4 linked regions of the Arabidopsis thaliana genome follow. The protein of the gene in region 2 interacts with the protein of the main gene of each other region in a pairwise test. Each region holds a gene or a part of one and is shown on either strand. Other genes may lie near its edges.

Region 1 (6,205 bases), on a different chromosome or scaffold from region 2:
TATAGTTTTTTCTTTGGATTCAATTGCTATAGTTTCTAGAAAGCTATATATGTATATGTACATTCTGATAATGTGTGAATTTTCTCATACATAAAACTAAAAAATTTCAATAGATTAATATACGTATAGAATCTCAAACACTCCTTCATGCTTTGGTAAAAGTTGTCTGCTTTATGACTTTTTTCTTAAATCTAGCCAACTGAAGGTTTCTAATTTCGGTCCTCGTTTTAAAACGTTACTTTTGACTATATTTAATTAAATAAATTTAAAAAACATAATGATTAGCAAATGAAAAGGTGCGACTGAAAAAGTATTGCATGAAAAATTGATTTTATTTTCACTTTTAATACACATTTTATCACATAGACATAACTCATAAGTCATTACACGGTTTTGACAAAATGCTCGTGAACTGACCAAAATATTTTTAATGAAAAAGACTGAATCCAAATGCGTCCTAATTAAACCTGATTATAACAGTTTATTAAAATTTCCGTTTGCGATATATCAAACTCTATGGAGTATATACATACTTTAGTTAAGATTGAAGAGTTTTTTTTTTTGTTTGAGTTTGATTTTATATACATTTACATTGATATAATCTTCCTATATTTCACAGAAGGCATTTTCGTAATCTTTCCTACAATGTCATCTATATAGGGTTTGAATGTATACACAACTAGTTCACGTTTTGAAAACGTGATTCCGTTACTTATAATTACCATTCAAAATATTTATTTAATTTTGTGTTTTCACTATATCGTATACCACTATCGTGTTAAAAAAATGTGATTAATTTATTAAAACTAGTTTTTTTTAGCCTTTCATAAGTATTATACGAAAAATTTCTCTCGTTTAGTTTATTCAGTTCTTTCGTTATTCACCTGTAAATTCCATAATATATCAAACATAGATGGTTTGAAAGACAAATATTATCGTAAACAGTAAACTACTCAACCATTTTAACAGTAATTATCATATAAATATATCGTAGTGACTATAATTGACAGAAAAGCTTATCAAAATACAAAGAAACATATCGGACGTTTATTAAACTAACGAAATGCTTTACATCGCAGGAAATATATATCCAACAACTGCGAAAAAAATTCCGTCCCAAATGAAACTGGAGAGAAATAATTACTAAACATTTGATGATATGCATCTTAAAGCACACTTAACAACACAAGAACAAGGATCTTTAAATGACTTAAGAATCTCCATACAACAAACTTAACAACTAAAAAACCACTTTCATGGAAAAACTGATTTTGGATTCTTCGATCGGAGAAATCGATGATGAATGTGTATATGTATGTAACGTGAAACCAATTAAGTGAGCTTTGATAAGCCAAAACTCAAGTTCTTCACAACATCCTCGATTTTCATATCAAAATTGTTATTCTTCTGCAAAGAATAAACTATATCATTAGAATTTTCGAATACTAGAATATTTAAGTCCAAAGTCATACTAATTCTGAAACATGTACATTATCTATAGAATTGATTTATGTTGTCACACGATATATATATTTATGTTGAATACTAGAATAAAGTTATGTTGTAGCTTATATGAGAAAATATATAGTTACCTGAGCGATAATAGAGATGTCAAAAGTGGGTCCAAAGGGCAAGACATTGCTGTTGGTGATAGACAAACCAAGCTTTTCAATCTCCCCCATAATCTTGATCACATTACCCTTTTGCTTCTCGCATAGGATCTTAATAAGAACATCTTTTCCTGAAACCCTAACTTCTATTTCTGGAAGATTTGAGCTCGAGCTATTGCGATTTCCATCTGAGGAAGATGATGATGATGGTTGATGATTTTCATCTAAAACCAGACTAGACTTCTTTACAAGAACCACTGATTCCATTGTCTTTTCCTTCTTTTGTTCCTCATACTCTTTCACACTCTCTTGGAGGTACTTTATATGCTTTATTGCATCTCCCAACACAGAAGCCTTGTCCATCTATAATGACATAGATGCATATTTCAATATATAGCATGTAAATATATTTATATTTAATCGAAATGAAAAACCTTCAAGCCGGAACTGCAAATGATTTGTAAAAAAGTAATAATTCTTATATATAGAGGATTTGTTTTAGTATATTTCGAGTTTCACAAAGTCGGTCCTGGTCAAATAATTTAGTCTCATAACCGGGAGATCTGAAGTCAAAACTTTCATTGTGGGTATAAGAAAAGAGTGAATACTGTCCATGAAAATTGGTTTCTTGCCTAGCAAAATAGAATTATTTAAGAAAAGACTACACTATCATTTGGTTGGTATGCGCCTCTTTATTAAACAAGAAGAAGAAGAGAAGATTTATTTTTACATATGTGTACCTTCTTTAGGCCAGGAATTAGCGCGGAAAGAGCTACAAATCTTTGAGTAAGCTTCTCTCTCCGTTTTCTCTCTGCCAGTATGTGATCTTGAGCATTTGATTGGCTTCGAGTCAAGGATTGAGCTCTCTTTGTCCCTCTTATTATCAGCTCGGCTTTCTTATGCTCTGGTAATCCAATTTCTTCGTCCTTGGGGCTAAATATTAAGTTTGGAGAGTTGTGATTCATAACATGTAAACCTGTCTTTTCAAAAGAAAGAATCCTAGAAGAGGGCTGGTGCTTTGGAGGAGGAGGATTAGAAGAAGAAAAAGGATGTAAGTTTGGTGATATGTGAGTGGTCTTGAGGATCTTTGAAGGTCTTTCTTCTACCAAACTTTTATTACAAGAAGCATCAAGGTTATAACAAGTGGTGGTATCATCAAGAGATGAGAGAGACTGTGGAACATCTCCGACGAGTGAGTTCATGTGGAATTGGTGGATGATACTATATTCTTCTATATCCTATACGAAAAGCAAATAATAAAGATTCGTGAAATTTGCCTAAGAAAAAGTAGGTTAAAAGAACATGAATATAGATTTTATATATATACAAAATCATATGAGGAAAGAGAGGCACACATAAATATGTATGTATGTGTGTATAGAAATATACCAATTCGGAGGACCATTTGGTAGAGAAAACGTTCATCGCTGTGGCCATGATCGCTAGCTTCTTAGTTAAAAAATCTGAAAATTGGTAATCATATGAGGAAACTATTAACCCAAGAAAATGAAATTATATAACATTAATATTTCTTGAATTCCAAAAGCTTTACAAGAATTTGAGAAATTTAAGCAGTCTAAGAAAGATGAAGTTGAAGTTTACCTTCTATAGAGAGATAGATAGAGAGAGAGAGAGGGAGATTTGGACTTGCTCATGTGCTAATGGCTAAACACGATTATATTTTTATACATATATACGACGACTCTGAATTTTATGTGCAGGCGTGAAAGGCAATCAAATACAAATAGATACTGGTTGATAATATTAATTAAAAATAATAATACATTAGATTGATTGATACTGATAATACTCTCAAAGATTTTGATGCCAATGTGTATCTATTACTAAATATGAATATTTAGGATCGAATAATGATAATTGTGCGAATTTTCTAAGAATTTAAATAATATATTTCTTGGAAATATTTGTCTTTCGAAAATCTCCTGGACAAATTTGTTTCTTAGAAATTCTTCTAATTTTATTTTTTCTGGAAATCCCTCAAAAGCATTGTTTCTCGAAAATCTCTTCAAAAACCGTCGGAAATATTAGTTTTTCGAAAAACTCTCGGAAATTTTCAAAGATATTTCGAAATACATGGATTTTTGACCACTTTAAGCTAATGACAATAATCCTTCGGAAATCCATCTGAAAGCACATTTCTGAAGATTTACCAACGAATTTGACCCTATGAAATAAGATTTTTATCTTGTAATGAAAATTGCTAGTTATAATTTATTTTTATTTTTTTATTTTTACTTCTATTAACAAGAAAAATTAGTTTAAAATATTTGATTTTATAAGACAAATAGACATATTATATATACACAAATAAACACATAATATATACAAACAAAACAAAACAGAAAGGGAGAGTCAGATCGTAAAAGAGTCTTCAGTGATGAAGGATCCTTAGAGGGCTTGAGGGGAGCTAGATTCCACCAAAGATACATACTGTATATAATTTGTAATTGTGTATGATTAATCAACTAGTTTTTATTTTATTTTGTTCACATCAATCAACTAGTTAAGAAATAATCTTTCTCCATTTTGATAAGATATTATTCCCTTGATCTTTGGTTTAATACTAATATTGATGTAGGGTTAAGAAAAGATTACGAAATCTTCATGAATACCTAATAATATCATCTTCTTAAATCTTCCCTATATATTGCCAACAAGAATGTATTCAAACAATTATATCTTGTTCATTTTAAACAACGGTCGCTAATCAGAAATAAACAAAGAATTTGCATTCATCCTCAATATATGGTGGGTTCAATCATTGTTCATATATATAGAAAAATGTATTTTCTTTCATTACTTTTTTTTCTCACTTGTTACTTGTTAGTATTGCGCCAACCCAAGATCTTCCCTTGATTTGTTTTTGTATTTGATATAGTATTGGACTATTGGTTATGACATGTTTCTGAGGTATCAACTATTGGTTATGACATTGTTACAACTTACAACTTGTCAATTTTAATGGGTAGGTAGAAAAGAAACCAAAATGTACAATCACTTTATCAAAATTACATTTCAGAAAGAAAGAAAAATTATGATCTATATAAACATATATATAAGACTTTCTAATATAATACATATTTAGAATGTGATTGGCTAGGGCTTATCTATAAATAACACACACACACATATGCACATAAATAATTAAGATTATTTCTTTTAGAAAAGAAAAGAAAACATATGAACTAATGAGTTACGTTTTCGTTGGAAAAATAGTTCTCGTCTATTCTATCACTAGATACATAGAAATCATCACTAGATTTTTCAGTATATCGCTCATTCTATTTTATTTTTTACCATACACTGGTAATATTAACACAGAAGCATGTTATTTCCAATGAGTTACACATATAAGAATATAATTGAAATATAGACCCCTTTAATTAGATATATATTTGCAAAATTTATACTCTTAAGAAAATAAAGTGCTTGCGAATAGTTATTGAGAGAGACACAGCTGACTCTTTTGAGGGTCTAGTGTCTTGTGCAACCATGGTAATCTAGGTTAAGAAAACTCATTAATTTATTTTATATATACGTACTCATAAAGTTTTGTTGGAAGTGTTGAAATAATCAGCCTTTCAAAATAAAAAGCACGTGAGTTAGTCTAATAATCTATTGGAGAAATGACAGGCAAGAGACAACTAATCTCTCGATCCCTCTATTACCTCACCCCAAAATATAAGCATCAAGCATCTTGAAATCATTTGTATAATATATACATGCAGTCATGCACATGATTAAGGTATAATAATTAGAACTTTTTCGTTGTTCAAGATCCAATTCTCTATGATGAAAAATAGTTTGATGGGATCCGCATATCCAGTGTAACGTGAGAAATTAACATGTGTTATTTATATCTATTGGTGCATAATTAATATTTTCTTATAAACGCTCACTAATAATTTTGTTGTAGGAGTAAATTTTGGAAGTCAAACACTAATTTGGTAACGAAAAAGAACAAAAAGAAGTAGACAAAGAAACTTTTATTATATAAGCTTCTGCAATTTGTTACGTTTTAAGGGAATATGATTAGTTTATTATCAGTATGCATGTCAGGATGTGTTGGTTAATGGATGTACGGTCAAGTGGCCCTATTATAATTACTGGATGTGCTTTGGATATGATTGTACTGTTTCCTCTTAACTCTCAGGTCTTGACCTAACAACGTCAAAAAAAGAAAAATTTAACAAAAAGAACAATGTCAAAAATAGTCTTAGTTTCAAACCTCAAGAATAAGAAAAGAAGACACGGGAATGCATGGACTCAGATTCTTAATTAAGAAAAGATATTGTATTCTACACACGACAAAAAAAAAAGAAGAAGATATTGTATTCTACAGAGAAACAAGATTAGAAACTTAAAGGTGATAATTGATTAATTAGTGGAGTTGAATGAATTTGAACATGCAATAAATAAATAAATAATAACGTGTTACTTAATCATTGATTTGAATATCTTTATCAAAATCATTAGTAATATATAGTAAGTTAAGTGTTACATCAATATCAAGAATTTGCTCGATAAAAAAAAAAAAAAAAAAGAATTTGCGCGATGATTTGATTTCAGATGGG
Region 2 (6,769 bases):
TTAGTGAGACTTAAAGAGCTTCAGATTATTATTACCCCATGACGAGTCTTGAGATAAGGAAGCTAGTTTCTCCATGATACATGAATGTATTCCGTATGTGAACTGATGATACGATGGATAAATCGTTAATAAGAATGCGGTTGTTCCGCAATTGTGGAAGAAAAAAAGAAAGTGAATCTGAGGGTTGAAAGAGAAGTACCAAAATCCAGAAGAAGAAAGCAATATGAATTCAGAAAGAGAATGAAATGGATGATTTGGTTGTAGAAATAAGGTTTTGGTCGTATGTATTTTTAAAAAAGAATTATTATTAGTAAATTGTATTTATGTTATATTATATTATTCACAAATATCAATTTAATATATATTTTAAAAATAATGTACTTATAGAAAAACTTGTACTTATAGCCAAAATAGTTAAAAATTATATTTTTTAGGCTGTGAGAAAAAATAAGAAAAGTACAACATGATTGTAGTTTTTTAGTGTCTTTATAAATTTCCTACACCCCAACCAATCAATCATACTCGGTGTCTTGAAGAAAACATAAAAAATATTTATAGGAAGACATGTAACTGAAGATGCGTGTTTTAAGTCATAATTTTTTTTTTTTTTGAAAGACACCCAACAATTCACTAATGGAGGTTGTCTAAAAAGAATAACCAAGAAAATGGTCTCTGAACCCATCTCTAAAACTATTTTATAATGTGTATATGTAACAGTAAGAAGTGAAAAAAAAAATCCATATATCAATTAAGGTGTTAAAAAAAAAAGTCCATATATCAATCACTTTTCTAACATCGTCGATCATTGTGACGAAAATCGCTTACGTCTGTACCGTATTAACGTAATGCCATCAAACGAAAAAGTTTGCTCACTCACTCCGGTTTAGATCTTTGTTAACATAAGCAAACTTTTCAGAGAGTGAACTAATAGATTCACGAAACGACACCGTAATTAGTATCGAAAACTTGACTGACATCAGCCTAAGAAAAATATCGCAAATTGTTATAAAATATTAAACTTAAGAAGAAAAATGAAAATATAATAGAGTTTACTTAAAAAAAAATAATGGGTTAGCTGATTTTATACCCATAAACTAATTGCATTCTCAGCTTTTTCCCCCACACTTTTTGGCTCTTAAATTTCTACCATAAACTTTGATAATTCTTTAAATTACAACATGTACTTTCGGATTCATCCTTAAACATACATTTCCAATTGAACCGGTCATTAAACCAGGATTAACCACAAATCCGCGTTTACTGTACCACGATGCGATTTACCCGATTAATCACCTCTATCCGTTAAGAAAAGGGTTGGCTGATTTTATAGCCATAAACTAATTGCATTCTCTGCTTTCCCCCTCACACTTTTTGCTCCTGAAATTTCCACCATAAACTTCGATAATTCTTAAAATTGCAACATATACTTTCAGATTCATCCTTAAAAATATGTTTCCAATTGATTTAGATTGTCATTGGAACAATCTTCAACCTCTTTTGTCTATTTTGGATGATGTATTTTCGGAAGTTGATTCTCTTTAAGATGATATTATTTAGGTTGACTAATTGATTTGGAGTCTTATCTATCCTTATGATTAGGAGTTTTATCTAGTTCGATTTGTCATTTTCCTTACCAATTAACACAACACATAACATATATAGATAGATTCACATTATAAAACAAAGAGAAAACGATGTCGTTTTCTTAACGGGTGTGGGATTAGTCGGGTAAATCACAATAGCGGTACACTAAACGCGGATTTATGGTTAATCTCGGTTTAACAATCTAAATCAATTGGAAACATATTTTTAAGGATGAATCTGAAAGTACATGTTGCAATTTTAAGAATTATCGAAGTTTATGGTGGAAATTTCAGGAGCAAAAAGTATGGGTGAAAAGCAGAGAATGCAATTAGTTTATGGCTATAAAATCAGCCAACCTTTTTCTTAACGGATATGGTGATTAATCGGGTAAATCGCAATCGTGGTACAGTAAACGCGGATTTGTGGTTAATTCCGGTTTAAAGACCGGTTCAATTGGAAATGTATGTTTAAGGATGAATCCGAAAGTACATGTTGTAATTTAAAGAATTATCAAAGTTTATGGTGAAAAATTAAGAGCCAAAAAGTGTGGGGAAAAAGCTGAGAATGCAATTAGTTTATGGGTATAAAATCAGCCAACCCAAAAATAATAGAATTAACAAGAAAGTAAGAGACTTAAGGAAAGAGTAATAGATAAAAATAAGCATTATCCATATTTTATAGATAGAAATGAGCGATGGATTACCACCACGCTTATACGATTGCGATAATTACATCTATACTTATCCAGTTTTACAGAAAAAATAATAGATAAAAATAAGCATTATCCATATTTTATAGATAGAAATGAGCGATGGATTACCAGCACGCGTATACGATTGCGATAATCACATCCATACTTATCGAGTTTTAAGGAAAAAGTAATAGATAAAAATAAGCATTATCCATATTTTATAGATAGAAATGAGCGATGGATTACCACCACGCTTATACGATTGCGATAATCACATCCATACTTATCTAGTTTTAAGGAAAAAATAATAGATAAAGATAAGCATTATCCATATTTAATAGATAGAAATGAGCGATGGATTACCACCACGCTTATACGATTGCGATAATCACATCCATACTTATCTAGTTATAAGGAAAAAATAATAGATAAAGATAAGCATTATCCATATTCAATAGATAGAAATGAGCGATGAATTACCACCACGTTTATACGATTGCGATAATCACATCCATATTTATCTAGTTTTAAGGAAAAAATAATAGATAAAGATAAACATTATCCATATTTTATAGATAGAAATGAGCGATGGATTACCACCACGCTTATACGATTGCGATAATTACATCTATACTTATCCAGTTTTACAGAAAATATAATAGATAAAAATAAGCATTATCCATATTTTATAGATAGAAATGAGCGATGAATTACCACCACGTTTATACGATTGCGATAATCACATCCATACTTATCGAATTTTAAGGAGAAAATAATAGATAAAAATAAACATTATCCATATTTTATAGATAAAAATGAGCGATGGATTACCACCACGCTTATACGATTGCGATAATTACATCCATATTTATTCAATTTTAAAGAAAATATAATAGATAAACATAAGCATTATCCATTTTTATAAATAGAAATGAGCGATGGATTACCACCACGCTTATACGATTGCGATAATTTCATCTATACTTATCGGGTTTATAACACCGATAATCCGATTTGGTCAAAATCCGGCGGAGAAAAACCCTAAAAATGGAGAAAGAGACGAAGGAGAAGATCGAGAAAACTGTGATAGAGATACTCAGTGAATCGGATATGAAAGAGATAACAGAGTTCAAGGTTCGTAAACTCGCTTCGGAGAAACTCGCAATCGATCTCTCGGAGAAATCTCACAAAGCATTTGTACGAAGCGTCGTGGAGAAATTCCTCGACGAAGAGAGAGCGAGAGAATATGAAAACTCACAAGTGAATAAGGAAGAAGAAGATGGAGATAAGGATTGTGGTAAAGGAAACAAAGAGTTTGATGATGACGGCGATCTTATCATTTGCAGGGTTTGATTTCATTGCTTTTTCTCGAATTCGATTACTGATTTTGCTTGAAATAGGATTGATTTTGATTTGTATGTGGTCTCGTAGAGAAGCTAATAGTGTTATCTCTGAAGCAGAGATTGTGAATTAGTGAATGTTGTGTGTTCTGAATTTGGAATGTTGTTGTTGTTGTTGTTGTTAGTTATCGGATAAGAGAAGAGTGACGATTCAGGAATTTAAAGGGAAGAGTTTGGTTTCTATCAGAGAGTATTACAAGAAAGATGGCAAAGAACTTCCTACTTCTAAAGGTACTTTAAAGCTCTCTTTGTTCTATCACAATTTTTCAGAAATTGTAGAGCCAAATTCTGTGTTTATGTGCAAATGTTTCTTTCAAGTTCCACTTTAGAGTTGCATCAAAGTGATTTTCGTTCACAATTCGAAATTTGGAGTCAATGATGATTCAGAGTTGTTATTGTTTTGGGTGTGTTAAGTTTCAGTTTTGTATATTAAGTAAAAAGCTTTGGTGATTACAAACCATTTTGGCCGAAAAGTTGTTGACTTGAATGATTCTTTCAGTTTATGGTAGTTTAGTTTAACCTAGCACTTAAGCTTGTTCTGTATTACATCTTTGAATTTGTGCAAGTCCTGATATTTTGTGTAAAAGTCATTAAATAGTTTCTGTTTTATCTACTTTGAGAATAGTTATTTGGGTTTGAATATAGTTCATCTTTTCTTCTCTATAGATAAAAAAAAAAGGGACAACCATTTTACTCAAAATGGACCATATTGAGAATATTTTTGATTCATGTCTGGTCTCTGATATGTTATAATGTTATCTCCAGGAATAAGCTTAACAGATGAACAATGGTCAACCTTCAAGAAAAACATGCCAGCCATCGAAAATGCTGTCAAGAAAATGGAATCGCGTGTCTGAATGAAGAACATGTGATACTTTATCTCTAAACATGTGTAAGTGTCTTCTTAAGTAGTTAGTTGTTCGAATGTTCAGGTCTCTCATGTAACTGTCTTTTTTATTTTCTTCTCTCGAATTGGTCGTTATGTGTCTCGTACTGAGTTGTATCCATTTCGCTTTAACCGATTCCAAAAACTCTGGACCAAAGTACAAAACCATCTGATCCGGTTTCAAATTTCAATCTTTTGCATTTGAACAAACCGTAACCGAAACTAAACAAACCCCAAAAAAGTAATCCTGCTAAAACCTAATATTTTTTAAATATTTTCTCAAAAACCAGATCAGACTGAAACACAGACTGTGTCAAACAGAACCAAATGTATTAATTTTTTCCTCAGTTGGTTTCTATATTTCACAAAACATAAACTTCGAAAACCGAGTTAGATACACTCTTTATATAACAAGATATTTTTTTCATTTATCAAATGTTTGTGCTATATACACTTTTTGCTAGGATTACAAATAAGCCACATAAAAAAAACGCAATCATCGAACCTAACAGAAGTAGTTCTCATTGTCTTTTTCGGGACTTGGACAATAAACTTTTAACTCTGACCATCTCAGAGGCGGAGGTTGAAGAAACTAAAGCTTCTGCTGCAGCAAACCGGAGCTGATCAATCAAAGCGTGTGTATTGCCTTCAACTGCCAAAATCTCTTCAAGCTGCTTACTTCCGATCACCACTTTCGCTTTCCAAACTCCATTTCTTCTTTGCGGCGACACTTGTATCCTTGGCCCAAGTACTCCTCTAGGGCTTGTTGTACCTTGTCTAACAAGATACCCTAGTGTTTTCTCCCTTGTTATTGGCAACGAGCTACATCTCCGGCTTCTGTAATACTCTTCCAGGATGTTTCTTGAATTTGTCGCAATTACGGTAACCGAACCACCACCATCAGATACTGCTCTTTGCGAACAATTCCCCATCTTCACAGCAACTAAAAATGAAGAAAAAATAAGAAAGAAACAGAGAGTTTAAAACTAAATTTTGAGTTTGATTTGATTGTTTTTGGTTCAAGATAGGTTTATAAATACTAAAGAGAGAGTAACTCTCAGACAAGGATTGATCAAACAGTCTCTTTGTTGTCTCTTAATCTCACTACTTGCATGTGATACTCCGCGCTGTGCATAATACTATTACCTTATCCTCATCCTTTATAACTCATTTTTTTTCTAATTTTTTTCTTTTTTTGTTCTCTTGCGTTCTAGATAAAATTCTTATAAAAAATGCCAGCAATATAGCAAATATTTCAACTGAATATCTTCGGGGATAGACTATAAGTGATTTTTTATATTGTACTTATAGAAACACACATATATACAAACTATAATATGTACAAAAACATATCATATATACAAACTATAATATGTACAAAAACATATCATAAAACAAGAAATATGTATGTATGTATGTATGAATACATAATGACATATAGATAATATGACCCGTGGCCCGTGGGGATGAACCAATAATTTGGTTGATTTTCATTTATTAGTTTTGGAATCGCACTATGCAATAACTAAGCTATTACATTAGGAACATCATTATTATTTTATTTTTTTCAACTTATGGATAATTTTATTGTAGGACTATTTGGGTTAGTAGGGAAGGAAGGAATATCAAATCCCGTGACCATATTAATTTTTATAGGCATATCATTAACCAATTATCATTTTCATATTAAATCATTCACGGGTTAATATGCATATCATTAACCAACTATTTGGAGTTCGTAACATATTTTAGAAAACGAAAAAAAGAAAAGAAGAGCCCAACCAGGTTCACACCGGTGACCTCTAAATTTGCAGTCAAATAGTCTACCACTGAGCTATGAGCTCTTTCAAATTTTATTATTTAATTAATTTGAAATCAAAGTATAATTTTTAATGGACTTTATATCTTTGGGTTTGTTATTTTACCTCTCTGTTAATTTTTGAATCATAGAAATTTTTGAATTACAGATGTTTGAAATCTCCAATATAATTTACAAATGTTTTAAGTACTATAACATAGTTATAAGAAGTATGCGGCGATTTGGGGGTGAATTTTTTTTGTTGGGTTTTCTGGAGATAAATAATAGGTTTTGGAAAGTAATTAGCTTATTAGCCCGGTCACACTATTAATTAGAGGATTAGATGTGAGAATGTGTGTAAGAGAAAAAAATGTGTGAGACTGTGAGTGGGTGTAAAAAGTGGGCATGTG
Region 3 (5,838 bases), on a different chromosome or scaffold from region 2:
GTCTCCGGTGAAAGCGTCTCTCGTTGGTCAGATCATTATCTGGCGACATCGATCTTGATGACATAGATTTGATGGTTCAATCACGAAACGATGATGATATGATATCGCTCCGATCAATTACGGACGTTTCAGAGATCATCACCATCGGCTTTTACTTGAATATCTCTACTTGGATCATCATCGGAATTCACAGAGAGATAAAGACAAAATTGTCTTGAGAAGAGAATTAGGGTTTTAGAATAAGAAGAAGCGAGAAATAGAGAGTTTTGATTTGTCGAATTCTTTAGAAGAAGCGTTGAGACTCTCAGTGAGAGAGTAATTATTTATTTATAAGCGAAGAAAAGGAAACTGATAATCACAATTAACGGTCACAAAATCTTCTTTTAACGGTCACAAAAAAGATTTCTTTTGATAGCTTCTGTTTCCTTTTTTTTGTTTCTCTGACTGTGAGAGAATTAATGTGATGAGTTTTAATACATAGACTATAGCAATGGTATATAAATCAAGTTTTATAGAATCTGTTTCTTGTTGGTATGTATCGAGAGAGAAGCGGCCTGGATATGATCACAACAAGAAATATTTCTCAACTTAACGAAATTGGAATTACTGTTTTAGCTTAGCCTGATCATTTGCAGACATATATACAAAAGTTGCCCCAGTATCTCATATTAGCTGAGAAGAAGAAGCCAATCAAATACATAAAAAAAAAAAGCACACTAAAGATTGCAAAAGCTAAATAAGTTTCTGTTATAAAATCAACAAAAGAAATCAGAGGAAAAACTGAAAGAGCTCTTCATGATTTTGTAGACGCGTCTGAATTCACGGTTCGCACGAACTGGCCTTTCACTCGAGGACGTTGTTCTGCTAGCTTCTTCCTGCTCTGGTACCGAACCTGTAATCCATTTTTATACATCTCCATTGAATCAGTTTGATCTTGTATTTGTTTCAGATGCTGTTTTTATGATGAAGCTTGTGTGTCTCTTACCTTTTTGTCAAAGCATCGATCTTTCCTCTTCAACCGGAACTTCATCAATGCAGCTTCTCTCTGGCTTCTACTCCAACGTTGTTTCGCACTTTCTTCTTCCTTTGGTTTCTCTGTGCTACTGCTTTGTCCAGCAATCCCCTCATTGGTGCTTTGAGAACCAGCTTCTACTTCCTTGCTAGCTGCTTTCTCGCGATTTGATTCTACCGGTATGGGTGAATCTTGCTTCTGATTCGTTACTGTGGACTGAAGAACTTGGTTACGGAAGCTTACGCTTGATGATCCGATATTCTCCTGGTTGCTGCTCGTTGTGGAGCTTCCTTGATCAGATCTTACTTTTCTCAACTTTTCATGTGATTCGGTTGGTGTCTTTGGCTCACCTGAAGTACTCTCCTCTAAAGCAACGACGGCTTTTTCTGCTGACTTGCTTTCCTCAAATCTGCAAGTTAAATACATAAGAATTTGCGAATTGACTGACTCTGTTTTGATACTCTGCTTTTGTTGAGAAAAAAACAAAGTTTCTCCTTAAATCTTCCGAGTCAAGAAGATGTTAACTTGGGTTTCATGGTTCTTTTCGTGTTCCTAATATCAGTTTCTTCTCACCAACTTAGTTCTCTTCTTGATCTTTTACATATTAATGCATAACACTTTATATATATGATTTCTCCTGCTTTTGATTTTTATTCATCCAAATTTAGTCTTAAACTTACTACTTAGCTACAAAGCATGACGAGTACTTACTACTTAAAAACAGAATTACAAACACGAACTGAGAATATACGTCTTTCTAAACACATCATTTATACAGACAAAACCATACAATTTCAGCTCAAAATCCTGCAAAATTCTCGCTGAGAAACGAGTCATTTGCTGGACCGAATATCTCTATATCCGTGGCTCGGTTCATGCGATGTAGACCGGTAAATTTCGATTTGAATATGTATATATCCAATCTTTAGTCTCAATCTGTTTCATCTTCTTGTTTAGAGTTTATTGTTTTCATGACCAAAAATCCCGCCAAGGGTAATTGTTGCTGGATTGGTCCAAGAGAGTAGTAGTATCTGATTTGAAACCTCTCCAATCATCAGATGATGTCAAACAACTATCAGCTGGTTCAACAATGTTCATTAAGTGATCTGGTTCTTCCTCAAACCCACCAAAATACTCTCTCTTGATGTTGTTACTATAACCATTATCATCATCTTCATAATCATGATGATCACACATAACCCCATGATGACCCTTATCATCTTTCATCTCCATCTCCGGTCTAACCTCTTCCGGTTTACGCCTCCGGTTCTCTTCGTTTTCTGATTCATGATGTGTGCTGCTTAGAGCAACCACCGCTTGATCTCCACTACACTGCCTTTCCTCCTCCTGTGTCTTCTTTTGCGTCGCCTCTTTTAGCCTCTGCAACTACATAAAGGTATAAAACAACTCATCAACAATCTATTCTCTCCTTCAATAAACCATCAAAACAGAGTTTTTCTTGATCACCTAATCAGTCCTTAATTGCAATATAACCACTAAAGCACATATTTTATCACATATTTAAAACCACAGTTTTTCAGTATACAACCACAAAATACACAGATTTTAACTAACCATGTAAGAATAAACAGAGTTTAGAACATACCTCAGAGACTAAAGCTTGTTTTTCTTTCTTTAAGGACTCGAACTGAGAAGCCAAGTTGTCGTAGTTTTGTCTGAGAATGTTGTACTCAGTCTCGAGCTGCTTGGATTTCCAACGAGCCCTCTTGTTCTGAAACCATATAGCCACTTGCCTCGGCTGCAACCCTAGCTCTCTAGCTAATTGAACCTTCTTCCTTGGCTCAAGCCTTGTCTCAGACTCAAACATCATCTCCAGTGACTTGATCTGCTCGTCGCTAAACCTTCTCTGATTGTTCTTGTTGTGGTTGCTCTTCTTCATCTTCTTCATGGTCAAGAATGGCTCTGCTGACATCATCGCCGGAGAATATTCTCCACCTTCTGTCATCTCATCGGAATTTTTCCTCAGAGGATTTATGTTTTCTTTATTTTTATTTTTTGGAATCTCTATGTTTGTGTGATGTTGGCTATCTATATATGTGTGTTGATGAGGCTGAGATTATTATGTTAACAGTTATATAAAAATGTGATTTGTTGTTCTTTTTTGGGAGGGCTCCTTAGCATATAATAAGATATAACTTTGGGTTTGCTTTATCGTAAATTTTTTATTCATTTTTGAGTAAACGATTTGTGGGTCGACAGGTAGCAATAGGGCGGATTTTGGCTGTTTCTAGAGTCGTCGCTATCACTTGTTAAGTCGAGTTTCATTTCAACTCGAAACTAATCATCTAACTACTGATTAATAATTTCCACCTTTTTTATTTCTTTTACTTGTGACAAAATTAGTTTCGACTTAACAAGTGTTAGAAAATTAAATGATACAAAAAAATCTGCATACTACACAATTTACCGCATAGTAAACATTCTGGTCGATGTGAAAATGGAAATGGAACAACGGTTGCGTACCAATGTATTTAGTGATGTGGGTGCATATTAACAAATCCTGTTAAGTGGATCTTAAATAAAAATGAAGGGAATTATAATGGTTCATATAATGATTAGCATTTCTGAACTGATTACTAAACAATTATAATGGTTCATATAGGGAATTTCAGAAAATGAATAATCCTCATCTCCTATGCATATATCATCATGTGATTAATTATATTCTTTTCAGTACATCTCTGGTGAATTTTTAAATTTTTATGATTGTGTGCGACAGATTTAACGTTCAGAAGTCAGGATGTGTGACGGGTGTTTTTGTATACGTATGACACAAATCATAATTTTCTTAGAATGTGACTTTAATATTATTATACTTGCATTGTAAAACATATATTGATTACATCACAAATCTCAAAAACAAAACATTGTGACTTAAGTATGATGGGATACAATTTTTTCCAGCTATTTGCTTACGCAATTTTTTCTAATCGGAGATTTGATTTAGAATCAAAGCCTAAACTAATTTTTATAGATAAGTGTAATACAAGTTTACCTTCACCACACGTAAAACTTCCGTGCATGCGATTTGATAACTTTTTGCCAACTCTGTTGTGATCATTTGTTGACCCCTTCCTTACAAAAAGATATTTACTTCAGATTGAAAAATTGACAATACTATTATACTCGTAAACTATTTGTTTCTAATATCATATTTGAACTTATATGATAAATCACAGATATAATGATTCTTGAGAAAATTTTCTAAATTTTTCTTTTTTTCTGTTTTTATGTTAACAACACCATATTTATATATATTTTTAGAAAAAAAAACTAAATAGAAATGGCATATAATAGTTTTTTTCTAGAGTCTATATAACGTTATTTTTAAGAAAGTCTTCATACAACTGATTTCGCAAAATTTCTCTAGTTTAGTTTTACAAATTATGGTACTTCAAACCTCTATAAATGTTATGGTATTTTAAGAATGAATGCCTCGTGATTATTTAACAAACATTACTCCAAAGACAAAAGGCTAATTTTTCGTAACATTTCATCATTTGAATGGAAGCAAGTTAAATTTTTGCCAACAGGGAAACCATATTTGAGGCAGATTCCCTAGACTTTATTTTCTTCACGATAGCGATAACAATTTAACAATATTAGTATTAATGTGAAAAGCAACTTTAATTCTTGCTTTCCTGATTAGTTTAAGGTTTACGTTCACCTTGCTTGTCGGAAATTTCTTTTGACTAATTAATACAAGCAAAAATATTAAATTGGGCCATCTAGATAAGATATTTTCAAACCCTAATATTCTTTTTTTAATAATTAAATCTGATATTTGTAAAAAAAAACATAATTCGAAATTATATCTATCAAGTATCAACTAAAATTAAACCAAAAAGAAGTACCAACTAAAATTTAACGTAAGAGATCAATTTCTAAAGTCTTATTGAACTTATCAGAAAGTGGCAATCAAAAAGTATCAAAATCAGCCATCGAAAACTAGCCAAGTGTTATAATCAGAGATGAGAGTTCAATGCTTTGGGACATCAAAGTTGATAGAAGAGATGACATGGCAGTTGATCTGTGGTGGTGCCTGAATATTTTGGCCCAGCAAAGTACACACGTGTCGTGGTTAACTAGTATATCGCAATTTCTGAGAAGAGCCGTAGGAGAAGACAAATTCTTCATTTCTTTTTTTAAAAAGTATAATTTTAATTTATTACTAAATAAACGATGGCTTGGCTTGTTTGTATTTGCAAGCTCCTCGACTTGCCGCGTGTGACATTAATTTTTTGATATATTTACAATTAATTAGGACTTTTTATGTTAGATTATCAGTATGGTGTCACGTTCACAAAGTTTTTCTTTGTTTTCATACCATCGTAATATTCAAACGAAGATCTATTTTATTAACGAATGAATTTATTATTTTTATTTTATTTTCTTTAACGAATGAATTAAGTTTTGTCCTGCTTTTTAGATTATTACCGTTACTGCATCTCTAATCAATTTATGATACATGAGAATCAAACACAGTAATTTGGTTTTTAACGATAGAAAAAGTAATTTATAGTAGTGACTTTATCAGACAAGAAGACTTTTTTCCACCAATTTTGGAATTGTTGATAGAATTATAGAACTCTATTATTCCATATTTTCCGAATGGACAATAAATATTCTAAACCACATTCGAAATTTTTTTGTTTTATTTTGAGAAACAACTAGATCAAATTAATGTGTAATCTGAATATCTGATGGTGTGGAACTGTGGAAATATGATGCCAAGGAGGTGCCAATGGGGAAGAGACATTTAGCACCGTCTTAAAAAAAGCTTATCTTTTCGTGATAATAACTTT
Region 4 (5,617 bases), on a different chromosome or scaffold from region 2:
AGGAAGGTGAGGACATTAGGTTTTGTCACAATATTATATAGATAAACATAAAATACCATACTAGATTTGAATTCCACACATAGTTTATGGTCTACAACTAAAAGTCTATTCCAAACAATCAGAGACAAAATTAAAATCATTTAATTTCTTCAGCCAAATAACTAATCTCCATTCCTCGTTGATGGCTTTATATGTTCGCAAATTATATTTTTAAAAAGAAATTGGAAGACCAAGAACAAGAAGCAACCTCAGTATTTTCCCAGGAAGGAGCCTAAAATTCAAATCTCACGTCTTGTTGAATTTTAAGCTTATGAAGTCAAAAACTGAAAATGTCAAACTTTTCTTCTTCTTCAAGGCTCTTCACTTTACTATATATTCTAACTCCCAAGTCCACAAACTACTCACAACAAATTTAGTCATCTCATAAATTAGGGAACACAAGAAAAATAAAATAAAAAACATTTTTGTTTTTACTACTCAAAAATACCACTCAAAGAAAATGATGATGAACAAAGTTGTTTTGGGTTCGTTTCTGTTTTTCATGTTGGTGAGTTCGAATTTTGTGGTGGAGGCTCGTCCTTTGGGTTTAACGAAGGCTGAAGAGAACCTCGTGGCTAAGTTCTTCGATGGTTTGTCACTTGGGGCGATTAAGGAGTCGGGTCCTAGCTCTGGTGGTGAGGGTCATCGGTTCGTGGACCGGACTGAGACGCTTGAATATGGTAAGCATTCAGGTCCCAGCACGAGTGGACCCGGTCACTAAGTTCCCGACCGAACCAGTTAATGTGGCTGCTTTGGTCTAGCTCCGGAAATTGATTGCTTTGTTTAGTTTTTTTTCAGATTAATTATTCAGATTTTTCTTTTTATGCTTAGAACTTGGGAAAATCAAGAATTGGAAGAACCTCATTTGTTCTCTGTAGGAATATTCTTTTGTTAACTTATTGAAATTCATTTGATAATAATGTACAATGTAATATATATTGTAATTAATTTATTATTCTGATTATGTGAATGAATAACTGGATATTCATGTTTTTAATGAGTTTCAATAACAACATAGTTAAGCTCCAAATCCACAAAGCAAAAAGAAGCGACTTAACTTTAACCTTCTTCTGAGTGATAATCACCTAAGCTTACCTCTTTAACAGCTACATCCACTTCAACTTTAACCAAGAAATCGCGATTTCCGTGGAAATTGAAGTTAACCAATTCTTTAGATAGTTTCTGAAGGATGTTGTTCCGGATGGAGCTGTGGAAATTTGGCTTGGACAACAAGTTATACACATATCTAGTGCATATTTCTTCTCCATTATATAGGTAAACATTAGGAGCCTTACGTGCAAAGCAATTGAACCCATTTATGGACATCATCAAGCAGGAATTGATGCAAGTGTGACTCCTTGTTGTATTGTATGCCAAATTGTGAAAAGGAAGCATTAGTTGTAGCAGCTGCTATGGAGAAAGGTACCATACATCCTATTGGAAGGTATTTGCTTGTCAAACATCAGTAATCTTACACCGCTTGATAGTTATTAACACAATCAAACTCTTTCTTTTTTGCAGAGCCACAGTATTGGGAAGGACCTCCCTTGTGCTTTGAGTATTTCCCCGGTAGAGGCCTTACTGCTACAGTTAGTTGTATTGAGGTGATCTGTTCTACACTCTGTATCATTCATTGAATATCTATATATGATGTTGTCTCTCACACTATAACCTTTACTGCGATGCTATAGTCGGTAACCGAAGGTAACAAACTACGGAAATCGTCACTTGGTTCAGTAGAATTCATTACTTCACTCTTCGAATCGCAAGACCAGTCTAGAGAGATCAAGAATGCTGTAAACTCCTCTTTGTATGGAAATGACTTTGTTCATGCTCTTCTTTCACTTTATCAAAAGGTAACATTGATTCACCTCGAGGACCAGCCTCATCAACCCTTTTATAGACCAATTTCATTAAATCTAAGACATGTCATGATCAAAATCAATACATTTATTCAGTTTTTTTTTCGAATGAATCAAATCTCAAATCATGAAATTGGCTCTTTCTCTGCATTTGCTACACAATTCTTCTCTTTTCTCACTCACTACTCGATCCTACCTAATCCAATAAACTCTCTAAACCCTACATTACGACCATTAGTTCCTTGCACCATACACGAACTTGCTCCTCCTCCAGCTCCTCCGCCGTTTCCTAGCTGTAAATCCGCCATGTAACTCCTAACCTCCGTCTTAATCATCTCCTGCACCACCGTCATAAAATCTCCACCAAGTCCAGAAATCTCTCTTTCCTTCTCTTCTTCTTCTTCTCTCTTCACCGGAAACAACTCCGGTGGAGTTGTTGACTCATTGACCCAAGGCAAAGACAACCTCAAACAAGTCATCGGATCTTTCTCCTCCTCCTCCGGCGATGATGACTCAATCACCACTCCACCAGCTCTCGCCGTCGGTTTAAAAACATGACAAGAAGAAGAAACCGGTAAAACAGATCCACTAGATTGCGATTGCTCGCTGACGTCAGATCCCGTTGGACTTAACGCCGTCACCACAACAACTCCTCCTCCACCACTCGCCCTCCGTTTTAACGGTTTTTCATCAGTTAAATTACCATCATACCCTCCATTACCACCGAAATCACAACTCTGCCCTTCCTCTCCTCCGCCGCCTCCGCCGCTACATTTCCGCTTCAGCGTTGAGTTCCAGTGATTCTTAATCGCGTTATCAGTGCGACCATTGAGAAGCCGTGCAATCGTCGCCCACTTGTTACCAAACCGAGCGTGCGCTAGTATAATCGTATCATCTTCCTCCGCCGTGAATCCACGGTGCTCTACCTCCGGAGAAAGCTGATTACACCAACGGAGACGGCAAGATTTACCGGAACGTCCAGGGATTGATTTGCTTATCAGAGACCAGTTCCTTGGTCCGTGCTTCTGAACCAACGATTGTAACAGATCGTCTTCTTCAGGACTCCATGGTCCTTTGATCCGATCCATTTCTTTCCGGGTCGAACCAGACATCGCTCGGATCTTCTTTTTAATTTAAAACTAATCAAATCGTTTAAAACGCGTTTCTATTGTTTGGGGATTTTGGAAAAGAACGAAACGATTTTTGTTGAGAGGATAAGTATGAAGAGGAGAGAGTATTTATACGAGGTGTGATGGTTAGAGAGGTCACCGGTTCTACCGGTAATTTTTTATCGTTAGTTAACAACAACTTAATTTTTTCGTAACTGTAAATTGGATTATTTACGTGCATAATTATGTTTTCAACTGAATCAAATTGAAATAAGTTAACTGACACCAAATTAAATATGTAAGTATATGCCGTTTTGTTTTATTATTTTAAAATCCAGAAAACTGAAATTTAGTTTGAACCAAACAAAATAAACTCTAAACTAAAATTTATTAAAATATATACTATTAAACAAATTATTATGTAATGTTTTTTTAATGAATGTTAAATTATAACTAAACATGTACTGTATTTCTAACTATAACTAAACAAAGATATTAAACTAAAATCAAATCATATTACATCAAATTATAAATGCAAACCTTTTTCAAAAAATAAATTCAAATTAAAAATTCTTATATATTGTAGTTATGTAAAACTATTTAGAAAAACTACATATTTAAGTAATTTTGCGTAATTTCTAAATTGGATTAGTTATGAAGAAGATGTAACGTGAGTAGTCTGATACGTATTTGAATATTTAAAAGAGAAAGAAAAAAGCACGTCAGGGAGTGGCGGTGCGATTGGGGGAAATGCGTCTGAGAGAGTGAGGCTAAAATAAAGAGAGAATCTTTCCAAGAAAACGGTTGGGGATTTGGGAAACAGCTGTTAGTGGGGACAGCTGTCAACGAAATATGTAACTGTGTGTGATAGAGAGAGTACATTTTGTGGTACTTGAGAGCGTTTCACAGGTGGATCGTTTTTTTATTTAATTTAAATCATTTCGTTTTTAAGTTATTTCCTTTTTTAATTATCTTTTCTTTTTGCATTTTGAAGGTTACATTCTTTGTTTTTCCTTTGCATATCAGTGTTGGTATGGTCGAATTTTTGAAGATTTCTATTTAAACGTAATTAGATGCACATTAATTATCGTTGTCGTATCTAAAAACGTATTTAAGTTTTTTCGGTCGTTTTATTTGTCGGATTATAAAATCTTTAGTTTAGGTTGTGAAAGATTGACTCTTATCAAGACCGTCTTTACCCCATGGCAAATTAGGCAAATGCCATGGATCTATTACTGATTTTAAAAACAATCATAAGCATAAAAGGCCCAATTTTCTTAAAACAAAATTTTATTAAGAGATTTTAGTTTTTATTTTTATTTTGGCAAAGGCTCAATTATAGCTTGAGACGGGACTGTTTCTTATATCGATAGAAAGTAATTAATGTTATCTTTGGTTTGATCGCATATACTTAATAAATTTTATCCGTAGTTATTTCAAAATAAAGGATTTATTGATTCTGAAGACTAATGTTTTTTAAAGGGTTTGTGTTTAGTTGCTTATGATTTTAGTTGTTGGGTTCGGTCTCTTTCGATTTAAGTTTAAAAACTTTTGTTGGTATTTTCATTAGATTTAGAAAAAATTACGTTTTCCTTCGACTTTAATTATAAAATCATATATGTCGTGTGTCGTTTTAGTTTTTCTTTTTTGAACGTTGTATTTTGTATTGGTTTCACAACAAATTTAAGAATATTTTTATTTTTTATTTTGTTGTGTGAAAACACATTTTGTTTTCAATTTAAAAGCACTGAAACACAAACGTCGCTTTTTTCGAAATTGTATTTTGCGTATTGAATTGACGTATCTATACATATTAGAAACGTATAAGTAAAGTATCCATACTTATTGAGTGATTCCAGTTTCTTCTGTTTTTGTTTTTGATTTTCTGATTAAAAGAAAAATAAAACGAAGATAAGGATGACGTTAAAAGTGGTTTAGGTTTTTTGTTGGATTCTTCAGAGACTTTTCTGACTAAAGAAGCCAGCCTGTATGCCAATATTATTACTACTTTTTATATACAAAAATCAGTTATTTTGGATATTCAAAAAGATACTAATAAGATTCTTACGTAAATCGAAAACGACAGGATAGATCGATTAGAGTTTTGAGAGCCTATCGTTACTATTCATTGTTTGATATAAGCTAGTTTAACATGTCTAAAAGATTTATGTTGAAGTAAAGTTCATTTCCTTTGTCGTTTTATTTGTTGTCAACATGATACTCATATACAAAGGAATACGTTAAACCGTACATCAGCCGTGTACCGCACAAAAAACGTCGCCTGCACATGTTCCAATGCCAACATGAACCTTGTCGTGAGCTTCCTCATTCTCTTCTTTCAAGTTATAGTTAGATAAGGTAAGAGATATCGAAAAGAGTTCTTAAGATTCTGTTTAATTATCGAAGCCAAATTTTATAGATTAAACAAGAAGGTGTCATTAATGGAGATACGGTATGAGATTTTCCCTTATTGGTCCATCGTATCTACTACCAAATTCTTCCTTCCCATAATTGTATATACTATTACCACTAATCATTTATGTAGTTGGTATTTTCTTATTCAAATTAAATATTAATGACATTGACCGAGTAACATGTATAAGTGTA

Evidence for each region.
Region 1: the proteins of KELP (region 2) and AT2G22750 interact in a two-hybrid assay, tested with the Arabidopsis thaliana proteins (one large-scale study listed by BioGRID).
Region 3: the proteins of KELP (region 2) and HB-7 interact in a two-hybrid assay, tested with the Arabidopsis thaliana proteins (one large-scale study listed by BioGRID).
Region 4: the proteins of KELP (region 2) and MYB70 interact in a two-hybrid assay, tested with the Arabidopsis thaliana proteins (one large-scale study listed by BioGRID).

Annotation. Positions count from the first base shown.
Region 1 is NC_003071.7:9,668,752-9,674,956, reverse strand, and holds AT2G22750 (basic helix-loop-helix (bHLH) DNA-binding superfamily protein), read right to left. Parts: upstream 3,285-6,205; 5' UTR 3,213-3,284; intron 3,074-3,212; 5' UTR 3,048-3,073; coding exon 3,000-3,047; intron 2,849-2,999; coding exon 2,351-2,848; intron 1,974-2,350; coding exon 1,593-1,973; intron 1,408-1,592; coding exon 1,333-1,407; 3' UTR 1,053-1,332; downstream 1-1,052.
Region 2 is NC_003075.7:6,695,657-6,702,425, reverse strand, and holds KELP (transcriptional coactivator p15 (PC4) family protein (KELP)), read left to right. Parts: upstream 1-3,226; 5' UTR 3,227-3,322; coding exon 3,323-3,622; intron 3,623-3,800; coding exon 3,801-3,906; intron 3,907-4,440; coding exon 4,441-4,532; 3' UTR 4,533-4,567; exon of another isoform or gene 4,568-4,752; intron 4,753-4,970; exon of another isoform or gene 4,971-5,082; coding exon of another isoform or gene 5,083-5,493; 3' UTR 5,494-5,714; downstream 5,715-6,769. Other genes in the region: AT4G10910 (uncharacterized protein), read right to left, coding at 5,083-5,493. UniProt on the Arabidopsis thaliana protein: General coactivator that functions cooperatively with TAFs and mediates functional interactions between upstream activators and the general transcriptional machinery. Binds single-stranded DNA.
Region 3 is NC_003071.7:19,163,796-19,169,633, forward strand, and holds HB-7 (homeobox 7), read right to left. Parts: upstream 3,173-5,838; 5' UTR 2,979-3,172; coding exon 2,619-2,978; intron 2,399-2,618; coding exon 1,982-2,398; 3' UTR 1,479-1,981; downstream 1-1,478. Other genes in the region: AT2G46670 (CCT motif family protein), read right to left, coding at 794-892, 986-1,438. UniProt on the Arabidopsis thaliana protein: Probable transcription activator that may act as growth regulators in response to water deficit.
Region 4 is NC_003071.7:9,902,812-9,908,428, forward strand, and holds MYB70 (myb domain protein 70), read right to left. Parts: upstream 3,222-5,617; 5' UTR 3,014-3,221; coding exon 2,084-3,013; 3' UTR 1,695-2,083; downstream 1-1,694. Other genes in the region: AT2G23270 (uncharacterized protein), read left to right, coding at 500-760.